Chlamydomonas reinhardtii: one gene and its partners. Each later gene encodes a partner of the first gene's protein in a complex. Links are inferred from orthologs where the notes say so. Each region holds a gene or a part of one and is shown on either strand. Other genes may lie near its edges.

Region 1 (7,158 bases):
CGGCGCTGGGCCTGAACCACAGCTGTGACCCGTGCCTGGCGCCCAGGTGCGTGTGCGTGCGTGTGCGTGCGTGTGCGTGCGTGTGCGTGCGTGTTCGTATGTCTGTGCGTGTTTGGCCGTGGCGCCGCAGGTGTTGCTTGCATTGGTGGAGACCGGTAGGTTGGGTAGGTGCACGGGCCGGGAAAGGGAGCAACGGACATATGCAGGCCAGACCTGCAGGAGGTGCGTGCGCGCCCACCACACGCATCACCCGACGCCACGCCCACCGCGCCCACCACGCCCGCCCACCCGCCGCACACCTGGATGCGTGCAGGTTCCGGCGCGGCCTGCAGCTGGTGTGCCGCGCCCGGCGGCCGCTGCCGCCCGGCGCCGCCCTCACCATCAGCTACGGACCGCAGGCGGGGAAGGCGCCGCGGCAGGCGCGGCAGGCGGCGCTGCAGGTGCGCTAGTGCATAAGCGCCCGTGTGTCCGTGCGTGTGGGCGTGTGGGCGTGTGTGTACCCGCTGTGTCGTGCGGTTGTGGGGCGGAACAGAAGACTCTGCGTCCCGTGCTCGGGCCCCTTCTCTTCTCCCGCTAGGCCTGACGGCCAGCCGCCCCTGCGCCCACACAGGACCAGTACGCCTTCCAATGCGCCTGCACCGCCTGCGGCGACGGCAATTGCAGCAGCAGCAATATTGGCAGTAGCAGCAGTGGCGGTGGCAGTAGCAGTAGGTGTCTGGAAGCGGCGGTGTGGGGCCTGGCGTGTCCGCGGTGCGCCAGCGCCGCCTTCACCACACCTGCCACCAGGCTGCTGCTACCGGCAGCTGGCAGTAGCAGCAGCAGCGGCGGCAACAGCATCGACGGCAGTCGCAGCAGCAACGGCAGTAGCGCGCCGGGCGCCCGCCTGCCCTCCGCCGCCCTGCCCGCAAACCCCGACCTGGCGGCTGTGCTCCTGTGCGATGCAGCAGCAGCTGCAGGCGCCGCCGAGTCGGTGCCCTCAGGCGCACAGCCGGATGCCACCGCCGCCCGCGCCAGCAGCGCTGCTGGTGCTGGTGCTGGTGCTGGTGCCGGCGGCAGGTGCGCCTGCACCGGCTGCGGCCGCTTCATCGCGCCGGGCGAGGAGGCGCAGGCGGCGGCGGCACTGGCGGAGGCGGCGCAGCTAGAGGGGGCGGGGCATGCCGAGCTGGGCCGAGCCTTGGCCGCGTTGCAGCCCGGCAGCGGCGGCGGCGCGGCGGCGCCGGCAGCCGCGGTGGAAGTGGCGGAGGCGGCGCGCACTGGCTGGCGGCGGCTGGCGGGCGCAGCGGAGGCCCGGCGGCGTGTGCTGCCCTGCACCAGCCGCCTGCTGGGGGCGGGACTGCACGCAGCCGCCACGGCGGCGGCCGACGTCCTGGCGGCCGCGGCGGCGGTGGCGGCGGCGTCAGTAACTGGGTCGGCGGCGGTAGCGGAACGCGGCGCCGCCGTAGCTGAGCTGGCGGCTGGTGGTGCCGCCATGGCGGTTGAGAGTGTGGCGGCGCTGGCGCTGGTGTACGGCTGCTGCAGTACGGAGGTGTTGTACGAGCTGGGGGTGTTGCAGGGGCTGCTGGAGGCGGCGGCGGCGGCGGGCGCGGCGGCGGCGGTGGCAGGGAGGGACGGCAGTGCTATCAATGCGGGGGTGAGCGCTGACGGCGAGACCGGAACGGGGGCGGGGGCTGGCAGCGGCGCCGCGGCGGAGCCGTATGCAGTGCCGCCAGAGGGGCCGACCGCGGTGTTGGCGGCGGCTGAGGCCTGCTGGCACCCGCGCTGCCCGCACTGCGGCACTGCCGGGGGTGCGCACGAGGCAGCGCTGCTGCCGCGGCTGGCAGACACGGCGGCGGCGCTGCGGGCGGACCTGACAGCAGCAGCGGGAGTGGGGGCGGGGGCGGGCGGATCGCTGGCGGCAGTGCGGCGCCTGCAGAGCTGTGTGCGCTGGCATGTGCTGGGGGACTAACGAACGGGAGCGAGGGCAGTGTGTGGGCGGAACCGCGGGACTTGTAGTCCAACACCACACGCAGCTCTCATGCGGCAGTGGCGTGAGGGCGGCGAGGCAGTGGGCAAGTCGTCGATATGCAAGCGCACGCCGAAGTGGAAGTCAGGACGGGATAGTCGAGTTCGCTGGCCACTGTTCTTTGGCTTCGCCATTTCGCTACTGCTGCTTCGTACTGGGCTACAGGGCTACTGGTACGCTGGTTGCCTTTGCTACCGGCACCTTTTACACATCCACGGAGGACACCATACTGATCCTGACTGATCCTCCATCCGCCGCCCCCAACCTTACCATGCAGCAGCCACACACACGCGGGCCGTCCGGCGGGCTTCAGATGTTTTACACACGCGCGCAACACCTGGGGGAGAGGGAGTCTCTGCGTCGTACAGGCCTCAGCTCGCCGTCCCGCACATCCCGAAACCCCCCACACACAAGCTCTGCACCTCCGGCGAGCGGCCCACAGCCCCACACCCTGCACCCGCACTCCTGTACATCAGTCCGGAAAGACCGACCACCTACCCCAATGCAGCCAGTCAGCCCAAAGGACCCAGGCAGCTCATCGCTCCCAAAACTGCAATCAGGCAGTCCGCCCGTGTCTGTGCCCTTCGCCCTGTGTGCAGCGGCACCGCATGCCCCACGACGGCTTCCTCGATCCGTTGCAAGAAGGGGCGAGGAAGCCGACAGACTTTCACCATCAAAGCCAACGCCACCAGTAACCCCGTTGTGCACTTTCCAGGCCCTAGTCCTCCACGAGCCGCCAATGTACGGCACTGACCAAATGCCAAGTGTGGAAAGCACCGCACGCCACGCCCGCGCCGGCGGTGCGCTCCGGGTCCCACGCGGCGGCGCACCCCCAGCCCCCCCCTGTGGCCCAACCCACGCCACCGCCTGCCGGCAGCTCCGCAGCGGGGCGTGGGTAGGCAGGGTGTCGAGCCACAGCCACAGCGCCCCCGTCCGCCTGCTCGCTCGGCCGCCCGCCGTCCTGCCCGTTCGTGTGCCTGCCTGCGCAGGGCGCCACCAAGGCCTCCGCATGTCCGCTGCCTGGAGCCACCTGGGCTGCTGTCTCCAATGAGGCATGTTCACCCACTGACGGCACCAGGTGTGGCGGTGTGAGGCGAACGGCCCCCGGCCTGACCGCGTGCAGCGCCGTGTCCAACCCAGCCCAACTCAACGCAGCTGGCTGCAGGGGGCTGTGCGGCTGCATCCGGCGGCAGCTGTTGCGGCTGCGGCAGGACGGCCGCGGTTGACAGCCTGGCTGACAGCTGTCGGGTGCCGACCCAGGACGCGGGCAGGGCTGGTGCCACATGTTACTCCACCGCCCGCCAATCCAGCCCGCACGACGGCCGTCCTGTGAAGGGCCCCCGCTGCCCCTGCCCCCGCGCCTGCGTCTGCCGTGTCGAAATGCCGCTGCTACTGCCGCCGGCTCCGGCTGACACGGCTGACACGGCTGACACGGCTGCCGTGCCGCCACCGGGCGCTGGCAGCCACACACGGCTGCTCCCTTCCTCCAAAGCTCCTGTCGTCCTCACGTCGTCTCATGCTCCGCTCGGCTTTCCCATATGCCTCCTGCCCTAAAACTCCTGAGTCATCCCGCTCCTGCTCCTGCCCCTCGCCGGCCCAGCCCGGCCCACCCTCGCGCGCGGCGCCCGCTGGACCATGAGCCCGCGGGCCGCCCACCCGCCCGACCCAGCCGGGATGGCGCTCAGTGGCGGATGGGCACCAGCGGCGCCGCCCGGATGGCTGAGAGGTCCACTGCGCCGTCCGCCTCCTCATCCACCTCGCCCACTATCGCGCTGTGCACAACACAGAGGAAGGACGTGGGTGGCGCGGCAACACGGCAAATTGTCAGGTGCGGCGTGTACTGGATTTATAGATGACGGCTAACATCGAAACAGAGGAGTTCCGGCTCTCAAGGCCGTGCCGCAGGGCAGGTAGCACGCGCCGTGCGCCCCTCCCACCCGGGTCGACTTACACGTTGTCTCCTCGGATGCAGTATATCCCGGGGTTCTGGATGACTTGTACACCAGACTGCAAAGCACGCAGCCAAGCAAGGCGGAGCACGGCAGGGTCTCGGGGTCAGGTCCCTGGCTGCATGTCAGGACGCCGCAGGACACATGCTGTGTGGTACGCCGCCGCATACACCGAGGCAGCCGAAGTACCACACGCCTGTCCCCGCATGCACAAATACACGCCTCCCCCAGCGAGCTGGGCGGAGTGTACCCCGGCTGTCACGCGCCCTCCCAGACGTCCCGCCTCCTGCCTGCCGGCGCCGGGTCCGCACCTTTGCGGAATACACCCGTTCTTGGCACTCTTGCAACAGCAGGTTCCAGGTCTGGTCGTACCCGCGCAGCACTCCCTGCGGGTCCACACAATGCGCCAGCCCAGGTGAGCACCGCATCATGACAGCAGCCCGTCCAGAGCATGGCGATTACACGTCAATCACCCGACATCCCCGCTGGGCAGCAGGAGCAGCGCGCCGCGCGCCCCGGCGTGCCGCCTCCTGTCCAGGTGACTCCTGTGGGGCACCGGCAGCGCTCCTCCACTCACCACGTAGTGCTTGCCGTCATTCGTGATGACGGTGACTTGAGCTGCATGCATAGGTTTATTGGGGTTAGCGGGAGAACTGAGCTAGTTGCGCAAGATGCGCGCGCAATTTGGAGCTGCCTGGGGCGTGCGGGTACTTACATCCAACCAGGTCTGTAAGTTTTGTGTCGTTGCCTGACATTGAATTAAGAAATACTAGTCAGATCGGTCCGGCCCGCGTTCGGTGTGCACAACCTGCAAGCTTTGATCGGCGACAGAGATATGATTCAACGTGGCCCTAAAACACTGCTTGCATGTACTGCACAGCACGTCGACATGTCACAGGAACGGTGAGAGAGCAGCATGGAGCAATGTGGAAACCCATTCTGCCCCAAATAGGATAGTTGTAGGGCCACGAAAGAATCCATATCATAAGTATGGCGCATTTAAATGCTTATCAAGGAAACGAAGACACCGGGGTCCTCGGGCCGGCACGAATTCTCGAAACTCTTTTGCAATATGGAGCCCTGCCACCTGCTGCCGCTCTCACACCTTTGAACAGTTGACATGTTACCGTGTATGCGCAGAGGAGTAGCAGGGGGAAACACACCGTGGGGCTTCACAGCGGGGCCAACCCCCCTTCATTAGCCCGCAACCCGCCTCTGAGTGTATCCTACTAGGGACAGCTCAGACGCTGGCAGAGGCACGGCATGTGAGTGGAGGTGGCCGATGGAAACTTGCAGGCTGGAGGGCTGTCCGGCACACCGGTGCGGGCGCTGCGTGTCGCGCCGAATTTCGCATGGCGGCGGCCGGCATCAGCGGCACACCCAACGCACTGCAGTCCGTCCGTTGCGGCGGCAGGACAGGGCTGCGGGAAGACCGTGTGTGCTACCTCATGTGTCGGCTGCAGGTGCGGGATGGGGGCTGGCACGCACTTGGGGGGAAAGGCTGCCGCCAGCACCTCAGAAGGCATCGGCATCACCGCCTTCGCACCGCCTTGGCACCGCCTTCCGCGCACCAGCGGCGTGCTGGCGGCAGGACCCGGTGATTGCTGCCCCTTGGGAGCAGCCTGTGCGTCAGCAGCGCGCTCGCGTGGCGGCTAGCGGCTTGAGGAGAAGGAGGAAGTCGCACGCACAACCGCAGTGGCTGTGGCAGTGGCAGTTGCAATGGCGCGGCAAGCTGTAGCCAGGCATGTTGGTGCAGCAGGGGGGGGGGACAGGGGCGGCGGGGCGCAGGCTTGCGGCGTGGCCGTGCAAGGCGGTCTGGTGCACCCAAGTGATGCGGCGCATTCGGTGCGGCAGCACATGCCGTGATAGTTTGAGGTGCCGCACTGCAGGCACGTGAGAAATGTTATGTGAGAGGGCCCATAAGCGCCCACCTATGTATGCTTGCCCAAGGGCCTCTTGCAAGGCCTGACAACTTCAGTCACTACCACCGGCTTACTCGTGCATGTTCATGGTGTTTGCCTTGATGTTCCTGTCACAGCATGCGGAACTCATGTACCACACGGCCTGCATCTTGAAAGCGCGTGATTGCGTGCTGTGCCAACGGGCTAGCAAGGACTTGCTTTGGCTGTTATGCGCAACTTCAGGCAGGTCAGGCGGTCGGGCATTCCGTGCCCGCGTGCAGGCATCTGAGGCCGGCGGGTGCTGCGCGTGCACAAGCGCTACGAGTCTACATTGCATTCTTATTAGGGCGCATGCAATGTCCGTATGAGCGTTATGCTTTGGTGCTTTGCTTGCTCGCGTGTGGCGCGGGCTTGACGGCGGCACGCTACGTTCCCGCCTGCAGTTCTCCGCCACCCAGACCGCCATCCACACCCCCCACCGTGTTCTGTACGTTTGCCTCCACCACACAATACATGCTATCTGCGTCCGTTATCACAGGCTTCACGGCGAATGAGCCAGTCTGAGCCGGTCGCAATCCAGCTTTTCGCTGCAACCATTTGCAGAGCCTTCTGTTCATACGTACCAGCTCAATTCCTCTTGGTTAAAGTTACGAATTGATTCCTAATCTTTTCCGTCAAAGAATTCAGCCGCTCCGACACACGATGCACACCCTCAGCCAAACCTCGAGCCGGGCGACCCTCTCTGCTCGGCAAGGACGCAAAGCTGTTGCTCTCGGCAGCCTGCCGAAGCCCGTGGTGGCTGCCCGTGTGCCGGTGGCGTCGCCGGTGTCGCAGCGCGGAGCTCCGGGCGTGACGTGTCGCCGGAGCGTCATTAGCCATGGAAAGGCGAGAGCACGAACCGTGACCGGGTAGCTTGTGTGTGGGTATCGGGCTTGGTTGCACAGCGCGGCGGTCCCATGTGACCCAGCGGGCCGATCGTCGCGACGTAACTTGCGCCCTGGCGTTTGCAGGTGGAGAAGATCTCGGGCGAGCAGCTGGAGGTTGCCATCGCCTCTCGCGATACAACTCTAATTGTCGACTTCTTTGCGGTGCGTGCGGGGGGCGGCGGGCGGGTAGTGGCGACGGAGCGTTGTGCTTGCTCCCTCCGGCGCCAGCGGCCCACATCCGGCGTTGTAGGGCGGGGGGTTGTCGGCGGGTGGTGCAGGGCGGGGATCGTCGCACGATCGCTCCGCCCCTCGGCCGCGTGCTGATGCAGCGTTTGCACGCGCCAGCGCCGCCTTGCGCCGTGCCCACCCTCAAACGTGCC
Region 2 (6,995 bases), on another chromosome or scaffold:
GCGGCCACACGTGCACCAGCGTGTCCTCGCCGCCGCTCAGCAGCACACCGCAGCCGCCCACGAACAGGAGCGCAGTGGCAGCCTGCGGGGAGGGGGAGGGAGGAATGCCTAGTTAGGCGAGGGCAGGGTGGACGGGGCAGGGACACACATGGGGATAGCGGGCTGGCTGTGCGAGGGGCCGCCCCCAGCAGGCCCTGCCCAGCCCATTCAGTGCCCCAGACACTCGCCTCCCCCACCACAACCCGCTCTCTCCCACACACCGCAGCACAGCGCACAGCGCACATCCTCCCGTCGCAGGCCCCCCCACTCCCCAAACACCGTGCGGCGGTGCCCTCGCGCGCACCTTGTAGTGCGCCGCCCAGGCCCGCAGCAGGCGGCCCGAGCCCACCTCCCACAGGTACAGGGTGCCGCTGGCGCCGCCCGCAGCCAGGTACGCCCCGTCTGGCGAGCAGGCCAGGCAGGTGAGCGCCTCGGCCGCGAAGGAGCGCTGAAGCACTTGCTCCTGGGGGCGGGGTGGGGTGTGGAAGGCAGGGGGGGAGGGGACGATTAGGAGCGGGGGCGAAGAGGCTGCAGTGGCATCCCACCGGGTCCGACGCTATGAACAGGAGTCCAAGAGGCGTGAATCCCGCATTGCTCACTCTGTGCCAGGACCAGAAGTGCAACGCGTGCTTGTGCGTTTGCGCCGCCACGATGTAGTCGTTTCCGAGCGTGGCAAGCCCGTTCCGGGATGACCCGTTACCTTTATATGCAGATACTTGTGAGCCGGTCACAGGGTCGCTGCATGCAGTGAGAAAACGGCATTTTGCACGCGGAAGGCCAAACGCCGAGGGGTCAAGACAAAGAAACACGCCGGCTGCTCACCACGCAATTATAAGACCATCTGCATTTGCATTTGCTATCAATATCAGAGAGTCTTGCATCCTTCTGGTGCAGCCGTCGCGAGTCGTCAGTAAGAAATGTCAATCCTTGAGCTGGCGGTGCTAGGTGACCACTTAGGTGCAATAAATGTGTCACGGTTGATAGTAAACTTCATCAGCAAGTCAGTATAATCCGACATGTCACTACCCGGGCACTAACCCATCGGGCCCTCGGCCTCACCGAGTCTGCGCCTTCTCCTGCTTCGCCGTCTTGGCCACCTTCTTGGCCTCCTCCCACGGCAGAGCGCTAATGCTGCGCCCGCCGCCTTCTTGGCTGCTGCCGCCGCGATGGGAAACGGAACATCAGCATGCATGTACCTTACCCCGCCTCGCATAATTCCGCCGCGCGCCGCCACTCGTCGCCGCCTGGACTTTGGTCATGTGGACTCGCATTTTGCGCTACTGACGGGTTTCCTCCAGTGCGGCCTGCTAGCTGTGACACACTATACCGACACCGTGCAAGTTCGTCTTCTTAAAACACACTCAGCAACAGGAAAGCCAGCCGGTCCGCTTTGCAGCGGCCGTGGCGCTCCTGCACGCGGGATGGGAGGCGGCGGCGCGTGCCGTCGGGCCGTCGGGCTGGTACATGGCACCCCTGTTACCGTACCGGATGCAGCGAAGTCTACTCAGCAGTTTTTGTGGGGCCTGAGATGGGCGCAGCCAGCGGGGGCTGCGGGGCCGCCCATCATGATTCAGCTGTACCGTGCGCAGGCGGGCACGTTGCTGCAGCTTGGTCCCTAGCTTGCTGCGCTGTCTGCAAAGCGCTTGCAATCTGTGCATAAAAAGGGAAATGCAAGTGGGAACCGCAATAAGGAGGCCTTTGGTGTGTTGCTAATGCGTGTTGGGCCTTCCCTATGAATGCGTGTTCGCGCGCGGCAGGGCGACCATTGAAATGCGTAAATGCGAATAAAAGTAGCCAGTCCCGCCGTGTCGTGCGTGTGGTGCCGACATGGGGGACGGGGACCGACGCCACTATTTCTGGGATTGTATCGTGGCCCGTACGTTGTGGGAGCATGTGGGCGCATGGACATGGGTACGTTGCCTGATTACACCCTCAAAGTATTCGACCGTGCGGCGTTGTGGTTGGTTCAAGTGCCGCCAGCGTTGGGCCACCTGGGACGTAGTGTCAGCCTGGGGGTCGCGGTACTTTAGGGTACTTTGCAATTCTGGGGGCGGTCACAGACATGCGCCACGTGTAGGGTTTCCTCGCGCTGATGGGATGTGGTGCCTGGTGGCCACCCATCCTCGCGCGTGGGACGGGTCATTGTATGCTGCTTGTGGTACCTGACGTAAATGCTGCCCCGCCGCCCCCCGCCCCCGCCCTCCATCGCTGGAGGGCGACTGTGTCGCCCGACCTCTGGCTGGTTGTGCCTTTCTGCATGGTCCTGTGCGGAAGAGTGTTCTGGGTTGGACCCTTTTTTTCCTGGATTTTCAGGGCCTGGCGGCCGCGGCTGCGGCACAGGACCGGCAGCGGCGGAGGCAGCGGCCCTGCGCCCAGCAGTGGCGGCGTGCATGCGTGCAACATAGAGGGCAGGCAAGGCCACGCACGTGGAGGCGAGCGCGGCGCCGCCCGAGAAGCGGTGCCGGCGCGCAGGTTGAGATTGCCGGTGTCTGGTTTGCGGTCTTTGCTGGCGAACATAGCGTGGCACGGCGTGTGACGGGATTCATTACTGATTGGTTTTGTTGCCGGCTGTGCTTGTGCTTGACAGTGGGACGCGGCTGGACACATGGCGGGCGGTGCCTGTATAAACCGAGCCCGGCTTCGGGAAATTTGCTGAATGTGATGCGTCAAGCGTGCAGCGTGATGCATGTGAACAAACGTGTTGTCCCCCCAAGAGGCAATGCTGACTCTGAGCAGCATCCTCCCTGGAGCGATGGACGCCGTTCTCCGCGGCAGGTCGCTATTTGATGCGAGTGAGGGACTGAGGGGTTTGGTATCAGGCAGGGGGAAACGTGTTCAGCACGAGGGGCAGACACCTCCCTTGCTTGCCTGTACCGCAGGGGTGCTCTGCCGCTACCCTCGCTTACGAGCTGGCCACAGCGCACATCCCTTTCATTATGCGGGTGTGCAGCAGAAATTCATCCATGGGCAGGGCCGAAGGTCATCACGACATAATAGGCACGCCCAGGCGCGCCCTATGCCCCCCCCGACCTGCCCCGACCTGCCCCTCTGTGTGCCTGATGCAAGCACGGAAAGCAAATCCTCTGGAGACCGGCTGTGGCACCCCAAAGCTTTAAACACCCACAGTATATAAAACTGCGTTGTACAGCTTCTCTGAAACACAAAGCCAACTCGCGCGACTCAAAAATTGCTTGGCGACTGACTACATTAAACCAAGTCAAACCCCACACGTCCAGGCTCCTGGTAGCTTGTAAGGAATCATCTATTCCATCCTCACAAGACGCGCGTAGTGCTTGGGTTCGGGGCGCATCGTGCGCAGGATCTCGGGTGCTGCTCTCGGAGCCATGCTGCCCCTTTCGTTGCTAAAGACGGCTCAGCGCCATGGGGTGGTGAGTAATATCTGGACTCAGGACCTTGCCACCTGCGCGAGCTGCTGACCATGCGGGCCAACTTCGGTCCTTCTCGCAGCTTGTGGAGTTAAAAAATGGAGAGACGTACAACGGTTATCTCCAGCACTGCGACACATGGATGAACCTGCACCTGTCGGAGGTCATTTGCACGTCCAAGGTGGGTTTGCAGGGCTCCGGACGGCGGCCCCGGGGCAACCAGGCCACCCCGCGCCGCTGTGCGCCACGCCGCTGTGGACCCACAAGCTCCATATGGGCTTGTTACCGGCGGCAGGACCATTCTGGCGGCCTGGAGATCCAATGCAGCATAAGGGCGCCTGCACGCAGGCAGCGGGAGGGGCGGCGGAGAGTTGCGGTCGGAGGCGCAACGCCCGTGTGGAGCTTGCCGTATCCGGCTGAGTTCTATTGATACTGGCACATATGCGCGCGTACACAGGATGGGCAGCGGTTCTTTAAGATGCCCGAGGCCTACATCCGTGGCAACACCATCAAGTACATCAGCGTGCCCGAGGAGGTGAGGCGGGGTGGGTTGTCTTCACCACACCGTAAGCCTGCACTTGTGACGGTGTGCTAAGGGGCCGAGTTAAGGAGGGCAACTTGGGGGGATGATGGGGCGTGGGCTCGTGAACGTGGGCTTGAGGACAGGTGCACGTGTGCGCCGTGCAGTGGTGCCCTGCCGCAGATGGTGGCGCAACCGACTGCCGTATACCCGTGCTTTGCACTGGCCTGCTGTTAACCACCACTTGTATCCCGGCGGGTGTGGCAGGTGGTGGACAAGGTACAGGAGGAGAACTTGAGACGCGACGGTGAGGACCTGGGCAAAGGGGGACACGCTTTACAGGGAAGGGGCCCAAGGGGCAAGCGCTGGGCACTGGGTAGGGCGGGGTGGCGCGGGGCGGGGCGAGGCGGGGCGGGGCGGGGCGGCCCGGCGGGGTGTGGGGCCGGCGTGCCCTCCAGTACAGTCCAGTACAGGGCATGGTTCTCATGGTGCCACGGGGCAGTCTGCCTGCCGGCAGCTCCAGCTGTGGCTGCAGCACTTGTACCGCACCTGCACTGACTCGCCCACCATGTGTCGGTTGCGCTCACCTCAGAGAAGCGGCCCACAGTGGCCGGCCGCGGTCGTGGCGGCCGCAGCTGGTCGGGAGGCCGCGGCGAGGGCGGTGGGGGCCGCGGCGAGGGCGGCGGCCGTGGCCGTGGCGAGGCAGGACGCGGTGAGTTGGTTGTAGGGGTGCGGGCTGGTGCGAACTGCCATGGATCTGGATCAGCCATGTTATGGCATCAGGCACGTCTGGATGCAGCCGTGGCCTGGCGTGCCAGCCTGCGCGCCACCCCAAGGCGTTGGCCCACCTTCCTTTGCGGCAACACCTGCGCTCCCTGGGATTTGGCATGGCTCGTGTGTGTGGATACATGAGGACGCGGTGCTGGTGGTCTGGCTTAGGTGGCATACGCGCACTGCATCAAGAGCTGACCGCCCGGATACGGTGTGGTGCCGCAGGGCGTGGGCGCGGGCGCAGCTGAGCAGCGCGGCAGCGGACTGCTGTCCCGAAGGCCGTGGACGTGGTGGCGGACTCGGGCGGAAGCGAAGCGACTGCGGCGCCGGCGAGCCCGGCGCGGGGGCGGGCGTCAGCACGCGGGGCAGACAATGGAACGTGATTTGTTTGCATGGCTGCTTGCCGGCACCGGATTGTGAATGGTGATTGAGAGCTGAGGTGGTAGTAGCCAGCCTTGCTTGCCGCTATCCATGTGCGGTATGCATGTAAGTGCGGCGTGGGGCGGCCAGCTCCCTAATGATGGGGAGGTCGTGGGGGCGCCGCGGGCCAGCAGGGCATGTCTGGGGTCTGTGGCTCCGCCCACGCGGGCTGACTGGCTTGACTGGATTGTGGGGCCTGGATTGTGGGGAGGCTGTGGGTTGCCCAGCGCTGGCCGAGCAAACTGTACGTCGTTGCGGGGTGTTGTTATCGCACCGCGGTCACCGCTCTGGTGGACGCCCTGGCAAACGTAATGAAGAGCCAGATCGAAGTGTGTGGGCTACGTCTTAGATACAGAGGCATTGCGGCTGGTGCACGAGCGGGCTAGTCACGGCCAGTCACGCACGTAGGGCCGTAGGGGGCAACTTGGATAGTGAAGTTGCCCCTGCAGGTTGGCTTGGCCAGTGTGGGTCCTGGCCTTCTGGGCCCCACCCAAACGGGCATGTGTGTACATGTGCCCGCACAGCAGCGCCAGACAGCGCATTCCCTGTAACCACTCTAAGACGAAGGGCATTACATGAAGCATACAGCTGCATGTTTACGGAATCGGAAAGGCTGGAGACGTAGCAGCAAACGCTGGCGCAGCGATTCTACGACACCCGCGAGGCCGAATGGCTGACGGCACATAGCAGGGTGTTGCGTTGTGTCGCATGCGGGCGGCGGTAGCATGACGGGGCCATCACGGGGCGAGGGGAGGATTGCTGGGCTTCCTCCCGCCTGCCTGCGTCCCCTTGCGCTACGTGTGTAAATGGCATGTAGCAAAGCCTCAGGATGCACCGGCGGCTTGGTCTGACAGGCCTGGCCGCCCCTCACGGCTCCGGCACGACGGGAGCGCATGGACTGCCGCCAGCCCGCCAGTGCCACCAAAGAGGCACAGTGGCCAAGTGGTCAAATTGTCGTTCTGTTGACGGGCCCGGCACCCGTGCATCTGCCCCAAAACTGCCAGGGCGTGCTTTTACACCTCTTGTGACCCTCAGAGCATGCCCGGAGCACGCTGGCTGCGCATGCCGCACTGGGCGCGGGCGCGGATGTGGGCATGCCGACGTGTTCGGCGCGTCCGCATCTCGTTGGGATGCGCACCCCTACTACTCAGGTTGCCCTCTACAGGTCGCCTGTACGTGCCTGGCCGTGACTTGCCCGCTCGTGCACTAGCCACAATGTGGGCATCTGTATCTAAGACGTAGCCCATCACACGCTTCGGTCTGGCTCTTCATTATGTTTGCCAGGGCGTCCACCTGAGCGGTGACCGAGGTGCGATCACATCACCCCGCAACGACGTACAAAGGGGGGGGGGGAACTGTGCGCGTTCAGTGGTAGATGGGAGACAGGACGGACAGTCCATGCAGATACGTTGAAGGGGACAGTTGGGTAGAATTAGGCGATGCGGGCGCCATTAAAGACAGATGAGCCCGTGTAGCCTATTGTGGCCACTAACGGTATTTGCTGCGCGCCACGTGAGTTGGCGCCTGCTCCTTGTGACTAGTTCTTGTGACTAGTTCTTGTGACTGCTCCTTGGAACTGCTCCTTGAGACTGCTCCTTGAGACTGCTCCATGAGACTGCTCCTCGAGGCTGCTCCTTGAGACTGCTCCATGAGACTGCTTCTTGAGACTGCTCCATGAGACTGCTCCATGAGACTGCTCCTTGAGACCGCTCCTTGAGACTGCTCCTTGAGGCGGTGGGTCCGTAGGGAATTGCGACTTAGGCAGTGCTGGCCAGGGGATGGGACCAGGCAATGGCGGATGCAGGCGGTAGCGACTGATAGCAGTGGTGGAGGCAGCTGGCAGCGGGCTTGCTTGCCGC
Region 3 (6,613 bases), on another chromosome or scaffold:
CCATGTTAATGCAACATATACATATTTGTAAAGTTAGATACATCGGATTTTTACAGAGACTAAACGGGCATGGTTCGCGGAAACTGGAACATGATGGAGCCCTCATGCACAATCGATTTCTCCGTGTTGCGCCGGGACGCATTGGGTTTGTCGTAGAGCAAGCATTGCAATTATTAACTAGCTCGAGCTGGTCGGGCATTTGCCCCTTTCCTTATAAGGACAAGTCTTTTTCGCCGCGTTCGTAGCCTCCTTCCAGTGGTACTTGTAACAAAAACTCTCCATATGTTATAGCATATTCGTTTGAGCTTATATAGCTGCCAGCGTCGCTCACACCCAAGCCGAATGCGCAGGGCCATGGTCCCGCAGCAGGCGAACAAGTGAGCCCTCGCGGACGGAGCCAGCGCGTGCTTTCTGTGGAGCACGCTTAGCATAGCTAGCGAAGGCATGGAGGTGCAGGTTCCGAGGTGAGTCGACACGCGTGCACGCACCGGTGTTGTTGGGAAGCGGGGGGGGGCAGCTGCGAGCGCGCCAGCGTATTCCTGTCTCAGCGCAAGCACCGGCAGTTGCTGAGTGGTTCAGGTTTATCGTGAGCTGCGGCTCCAGGCAGTGCTGTCGTGTTTAGGCGTGCGGAGCTGCGAAAGCAAGTGCCATGTTCAGAGGGCTTGACTGGGCGTGGGAAGTGGAGAACATCCACACAGCACGCACGCACATCCATCGCATTGTGCGGTTGTGTCCTTGACGAGTGTCATCACGTGGCCTTGTCAGCTGTGGTGTTTGAGCGGCAACCCATTTGTATGGCTGGAACCTCACCTCTCCTGCCATCGCCCTTACCCTCGTACCCCCACAGCACGCTGCCGGTGTCGGCGCTGCAAGGGAGCGCCAGCCCTCGCAACGTAGGGTCGCCCTCCTCCCGCGTGAGGGCGAACCTGCAGGAGTCAATATCTGCGAGCAAGCTGTACAAGGACCTGTCACCCACCCGGGTATACCAAAGCAGCAATGATGAGAGCAGGGTGACGCTGCCGGACCTCTTCCGGCAAAAGAATGGCCTGCTGTCCTTGCGGCCAACATACTCGAACGAGCCCATTGGGGGTGATGAAGACGACGCTGGGCGAACGCCAAAGCTGCTGCAGCGGTAAGCCCACCTTGAAGAGCATGCAAGTAGCATGTAGGGGCGTCAGTGCAGTGCGCTGGAACCTCTCAAATCTCCATGAAGTCCATGGGGCGTGTACTGTGCGAGGCTTGAGCTGTAGCTTCGGTGCCTGTGCTCGGCCGTCGTCGCTCAACAAGCTGGCACTCATTTGCACGTGACGCAGGCTTGAGGCTTTGTTGGAGGAGAAGCTGGGCCTGGTGGAGCGGCTGGGCAACGGCAACAAGGGCTTCGCGGCGGCACAGCTGCGCACGGACGCATTCCGACAGGTGCGGCTCCATGTGATAGGAGCACAGGGCGTGTCCTAGTCAAGCGCTGCCGTTGACGCGCGCAATCGCCACCGCTGGGCGCCGCTCACTGCACATGCCACCACCCCTTGCGCTGTCGCACAGGTGTTTGACGCCTTCCTGCACAGCTTCACAACGTACCGCTCGCTGCTGCTGCGCATCAAGCAAGAGTACGACGTGGCGCTGGACGACGCGCTGGCGTCACTGTATGATAACGTGCACATGAAGGCGGAGCTGGCGGTGGTGGACGAGCGCATGGTGCGTGGCGCGGTGTGGCGTGGCTGGCTGACAGGACGTAGTTGGGTTCCATCCTTCGGTGTTTGCTGTTGCAGCCTTGCAGAGCCCCCTGCGTGCGATGCGACCAGTGGCGTTCTTCGACCCTTACAACCCTCTTGTAACAAATGCGATCTACCCGCTCCGTGGTCAACGCTGCGCTCCCTTTGCCTGGACACGCAGGCCACGGCGGTGCAGCAGGCGCGCGCTCGTGCCATGGAGGACGCCAGCGCCGTGCGCAAGGAACTGCAGGACCAGCTCAACATGGAGGAGAGCAAGGCCTTACAGGTGAGGGCGCGCTGCCCCAAACTTGGGCACTACCGTATCTTCCTCGTTACTGCCCATCCAGATACTGGGCATCACACTCCGACCGCATCACCCATCCGCGCATGCAGCTCCACAGCACGGTACTACTAAAATACCGGGAGCCGCAAGTGCACGCCCCTCTAGACTGGTGGTTTCTGCTTTCATGTCGTTGCTCGTTCCTGAGCACCACTGTCGCCATGCGTCACCAACCCTAACAGGCCGAGGCGCGCTGCCAGGCCGCTGAGCAGGAAATCCAGACGTGCAAGGCCAGCATCCAATCACTCAAGCGGGAAGTGGCCGAGCTCCAACGAGCCAACACAGATATCAAAAACCAGCTCCTACTCAAATCCAGCTGGGGCGGGGGAGCCGCCGCCCCGAAAGCTGACGCATGAGCTTCCCTCAACGCCAGCTGCGCTTGCGCCGTCGGCAACGCGCGTTAAGTACTGCTTGTGTACCGTCATATTGTGGGCGTGCCACAATGGCACTCGCGCAGGCAACTATTGAGTCCTGTCACCACTTGCGTCAGTCCGTCAGAAGTCATTATGTCCTAGGGCATAAGGCACACAGCATGTGGCTGTGGCCTAAACCCGAGGCCACCCTAGCGGCATCCAACGTTACAAAGCTGCACTTGTTTTTAACCACCGCGAGCCTCGCGCCGCGTGGCGTCGTGAAGCACCTCCACGTCCACGGCCCCGGGTGGTAGCTGTAAGAGCAAGGCAGTCAGGGTGTGTGGGTAGCTTAGGAACACGTACACGATTGTGTGTGTGGAATTGTGGAGTGATTCCCGCTCCAGGTGCTAAGCGGTAGGCGTGGTGAATGCGCCCTAATGGCCAAGCACATATGCTTCTGTAACATTTGTGCAAATGTGCGGCACGCTAGGCCACTTGCTTTCATGAGCAGGGCAGCAACAGCGTCAGCACCATGCCGCGTGATGTGCAACGTTTCCTTTGTCATGCCACCCCACTCACGTGGACGTAACGCACGACGGAGCCACGAATGAAGCAGTTGCGCACAGACATCTGCAAGGATGGGGAAAGGGAGCAACTGAATGTGAAGGAGTCGACATCATTTGCCAGCGCCGCATGCCCGCAATGGGCTCTCACCAGCCCAGAGTGTTACACCAGGAATTCCCGGCTGTAACAGCATCAATATAATAAAGGCCCCAACTTCCATCCACGCCTCACCCCGGGGCCACCATAAAAGACCTCCAGGCCGACTCGCTGTACCAGTGTGCTGCCCCAAGATACGGTTCACAACATTCCCCGACTGTCACTGTTACGCCACGCTGTTACGCCCGGCCTTGTCAAGAGGACGCCAAGGCAACCTGTGGACATCTATACCCTCTCTGCCATCAGCCGCCATCACCTGTCGTGGCTGCCAGTTTAACCGCGCTCGGCCCTGCTGATTCATGCTTCTGAGTCGCTACCCGCCACGCCGCGCACCAACCGAAGTACCCAGCACGTGTTCTCATCCACCTCACCCTGCCTCTGCCGCTAGCGCCTTTCCCCCTGACCTCAACTTGGTTCCCCCGGCAACGTTGATCGCCCCCGACTGCGCCAGCCTCACCATGTGCGGGTACTTCTGCTCGTTGTGCACGCGCGTGTTGGTGAGCTTAATGTTCAGGTACTGGTCCACGCTGTGCAGCGCGCCGCTAATACACAAGTCATTCTTGAGCTCCACCGTCACCTGAGCAGTTCCAGAATGCCACCAGTCAGCTATCCTGCTGCGGCAAGCGCTGCCGCAGTGCACAGAGTCCTTAGGCTAGTCCGCATGGCGCGCACCTCCTTGCCCACCAACGTCTTGAACAGTGAGAAGAATAACATGGTACTGCTACTTAAGCTTCAACACCAGTGCTATGATCTAGAGCTCCGAAAGCACAGCGCTGAACGCAGCAATCTGAACCGGCAAAGGACAGGCCGCTAACAGATACAGAACGAGGCAGTGGAGAGACTAGTAGATAGGATGCACCTGAAGGACAGCGAAGGGCGAGAGGATTTTAGGCAGCACCGATGCAGCCCAATCCCAGCTGACACGAAACCCTCTCCAAACGCCACGATTCAATGTTTAAGCAGTGTCTACACTCTTAAAACCTTTGGATTTAGCTGACGGGCAAAGCAACGCGTGAAAAACCTGTCGCCGGCTAACTGTCTTTGGCGCTGAGTCGCCCGTTGGTGTAAGAACAATTTGCAGCCATGGCGGACACGGTACAATACCTAATGGAACAAATGATTCCGGAGCTGGAGGACCTAGAGCAAAAAGGCTATTTTACGCGCGCGGAGGTTAAGAAAATAGTCCAGAAGCGACAAAACTTTGAGTACCTTCTAAAACGGAGAGCGGCGCTCAAGGAGGACTATTACAGGTGCGTCTCGAGTGAGCGCCGACCGTGCATGCGCCGCCGGTCTTTCCTTGAATAGGCGCCAATTGGCTGGCATCTGGTTATAAAATTAGGTACGTCGACTTCGAAATGAAGCTGGAGGAGCTGCGACAGGCGCGGAAGGCGAAGAAGCACATCAAAGGTGCGAGAAGCGGGGAGGCGGGGTTCTGCACGGGGTTCTGGGTTTCGGCACGCGCACAGTCCGAAAGTACCGTCCACGCCCGCGGGCGTATTAAAGTTGCCTTAGGTGACAACTATTTGGGAGCTTCAGGAGTTCCTCTGCCGAACAGACTTGAGGGGGCGCATGTGCTGTGCTCTGCAGGGAAGAAGGGTCTGGCGGAGGTGGCGATCGTGCGGCGCATCCACTTCATCTTCGAGCGCGCTGGGCGCAAGTTCCGCAGCGACCTGAGCCTGTGGCTGCGGTGGATTGAGGTCTGCAAGCGGTACAAGAGCATAAAGCAGCTGTCCAAGGTGTGCTGAAGCAGTTTGCGCGCATGTTCGGTCCGGGTGATTTGCGCGCCTGTGAAAAGGATGCGGGCCAGGGCCCGGAAGGCCGGGCTAGCCATTCAGAACAAGCCGTGCTCAGCCATGAACACGTGCCCACTTGCAGGTCATCACCAAGGCGCTCTCTCGGCATTCCACGGTCTCTGCACTGTGGATTGAGGCAGCGCGCTGGTGGGTAGCGGGCATGCCGCCAACAGCCCGGCGACGTCCGCACAAGCTCTGCCTCGCACAACAGCGGCCCGTCATGTGTTGCCCCTCTGCCCGGTGTCATCTCCCGCCTTGTCTGGGTACTGTGAAGCGTGCTTAAACCTAGAACCTGTCACGCCCCACCACCACCACCACCACCACCCAATCTTCCTCATAGGGAGTTCGACACCAACAACGACATGGCGGCGGCGCGCAGCCTGATGCAGCAGGGCCTGCGCATGTGCAAGGCGGATGAGGACATGTGGCTGCAGTACTACACTCTGGAGCTGCTGTACGCGCTCAAGCTGCGCGTGCGGCGCAAGGTGCTGGGTCTGGACGACCTGGCGGCGGGTGAGCGCGGGAAAATGAGGGGTGTGGGGCAGGTTGCATGGAAGGGGGTGGGGAGTACCTGGCCATGGAGAACAGATTGATACATCAGGCGAGGGAGTGCATCGTTTGGATTTCAGACTCCAGCGGACGAAGCGCGGCGCCAGGGAGGGGCACCCTGGAGTGACAGGCCTCACCATCATCAGAAACACGAAGGACGCAGCCCATGACAGCCTTAGGGGGCACGCGGTTGCTGACTGGGTTGCCAGCTGGTCGGCACAGCCGCCACGACACCGCCCACTGCGGAGCGGGAGGCGCTCGGGCAGGCAGGGGACGGGGCAGGCGGGGCGGCGCACCAGCAAGCGCACTCCCCATCGCGTGTGAACACAGCCGGTAACACCCTCGGCACCCGATCCGTCTTGACTCTCCCGCGCCGCAGACGTGAGCGGCGAGGCGGGCACGCCCGGTGCGCCTTCCGCGGCGGCGGTGCGGGCGGTGATGCAGGGCGGCGTGGCGCGCATCGTGTTCAAGAACGCGGTGGCGGCGCTGCCGGCCCGCCTGGGCTTCCGCAGCCGCTTCCTGGACGTGCTGCGGCGCTTTGAGTACGGCTTCGTGGAGGGGCTGCTGGACCAGGTGTACGACAGCATCCAGAAGGACTTTGGGCAGGTGGGTGGGGCGGCGGCGGAGGAGGAGGGGGAGAGGGAGGGGGAGGGGGAGGCGCCGGTGGGGGTTGGTGTCTTTGGCTGATCTGCAGGCGCGGCTGTGGGGCAATTGTGGACAACCTGGTGGCTGGAACCGATAGTCAGGCACGCACGCGCACATCAATGTCAAGCCGTTACGTTGCGTTGCGGTCGCAGTCGGAGGAGGCCTGGGACCTGCTGGCGCGGCGCAAGGTGGACTTTCCCGCCAGCCGCACGGGAGGCCCGGCGGCGGCGGAGCAGACCGAGGAGGCGGAGGCGGACGCGGCGGAGCGCCAGCTGCAGGCAGGCGGTGCCGAGGGCGACAGCGAGTCGGGACCAGCGGGGCCGTGGGACGCGGACGCGCACGCCGCGGCTTGCCAAGTGTACGAGGCGGCTCTCACAGCGCTGCCCGGGCCGTGCATGCACCAGTTGTTCGCGGGCTTCCTGTGCGGCACCCTGGAGCAGCTGATGGAGGCGGGCGCGGGGCCGGGCGCGGAGGCGGCGGTGGCGGCGGCGGTGGGCGTGGCGG

What was found.
Region 2: CHLRE_02g142850v5 (region 1) and CHLRE_06g251300v5 share a complex: the UniProt entries of both Arabidopsis thaliana proteins name them as parts of the heptameric LSM2-LSM8 complex. The link is inferred for Chlamydomonas reinhardtii from reciprocal best matches to the Arabidopsis thaliana genes LSM8 and emb1644.
Region 3: CHLRE_02g142850v5 (region 1) and CHLRE_10g441950v5 share a complex: the UniProt entries of both Arabidopsis thaliana proteins name them as parts of the heptameric LSM2-LSM8 complex. The link is inferred for Chlamydomonas reinhardtii from reciprocal best matches to the Arabidopsis thaliana genes LSM8 and LSM2.

Annotation. Positions count from the first base shown.
Region 1 is NC_057005.1:7,707,959-7,715,116, forward strand, and holds CHLRE_02g142850v5 (uncharacterized protein), read right to left. Parts: upstream 4,835-7,158; 5' UTR 4,707-4,834; coding exon 4,667-4,706; intron 4,570-4,666; coding exon 4,529-4,569; intron 4,338-4,528; coding exon 4,263-4,337; intron 4,010-4,262; coding exon 3,954-4,009; intron 3,775-3,953; coding exon 3,684-3,774; 3' UTR 2,195-3,683; downstream 1-2,194. Other genes in the region: CHLRE_02g142900v5 (uncharacterized protein), read left to right, coding at 1-46, 314-440, 611-1,945; CHLRE_02g142852v5 (uncharacterized protein), read left to right, coding at 5,422-5,607; CHLRE_02g142800v5 (uncharacterized protein), read left to right, coding at 6,555-6,737, 6,863-6,940. UniProt on the Arabidopsis thaliana protein: Component of the nuclear LSM2-LSM8 complex which is involved splicing nuclear mRNAs. LSM2-LSM8 binds directly to the U6 small nuclear RNAs (snRNAs).
Region 2 is NC_057009.1:318,999-325,993, reverse strand, and holds CHLRE_06g251300v5 (uncharacterized protein), read left to right. Parts: upstream 1-3,129; 5' UTR 3,130-3,383; coding exon 3,384-3,428; intron 3,429-3,507; coding exon 3,508-3,606; intron 3,607-3,882; coding exon 3,883-3,960; intron 3,961-4,212; coding exon 4,213-4,252; intron 4,253-4,537; coding exon 4,538-4,657; intron 4,658-4,941; coding exon 4,942-4,964; 3' UTR 4,965-5,699; downstream 5,700-6,995. Other genes in the region: CHLRE_06g251350v5 (uncharacterized protein), read right to left, coding at 1-82, 344-502, 639-777, 862-920. UniProt on the Arabidopsis thaliana protein: Component of LSM protein complexes, which are involved in RNA processing. Component of the cytoplasmic LSM1-LSM7 complex which is involved in mRNA degradation by promoting decapping and leading to accurate 5'-3' mRNA decay.
Region 3 is NC_057013.1:3,151,382-3,157,994, forward strand, and holds CHLRE_10g441950v5 (uncharacterized protein), read right to left. Parts: upstream 3,975-6,613; 5' UTR 3,837-3,974; coding exon 3,795-3,836; intron 3,700-3,794; coding exon 3,580-3,699; intron 3,033-3,579; coding exon 2,982-3,032; intron 2,717-2,981; coding exon 2,648-2,716; 3' UTR 2,149-2,647; downstream 1-2,148. Other genes in the region: CHLRE_10g441900v5 (uncharacterized protein), read left to right, coding at 445-464, 848-1,132, 1,314-1,416, 1,540-1,692, 1,891-2,124; CHLRE_10g442000v5 (uncharacterized protein), read left to right, coding at 4,206-4,372, 4,462-4,529, 4,710-4,858, 4,998-5,062, 5,256-5,428, 5,844-6,070, 6,262-6,613. UniProt on the Arabidopsis thaliana protein: Component of LSM protein complexes, which are involved in RNA processing. Component of the cytoplasmic LSM1-LSM7 complex which is involved in mRNA degradation by promoting decapping and leading to accurate 5'-3' mRNA decay.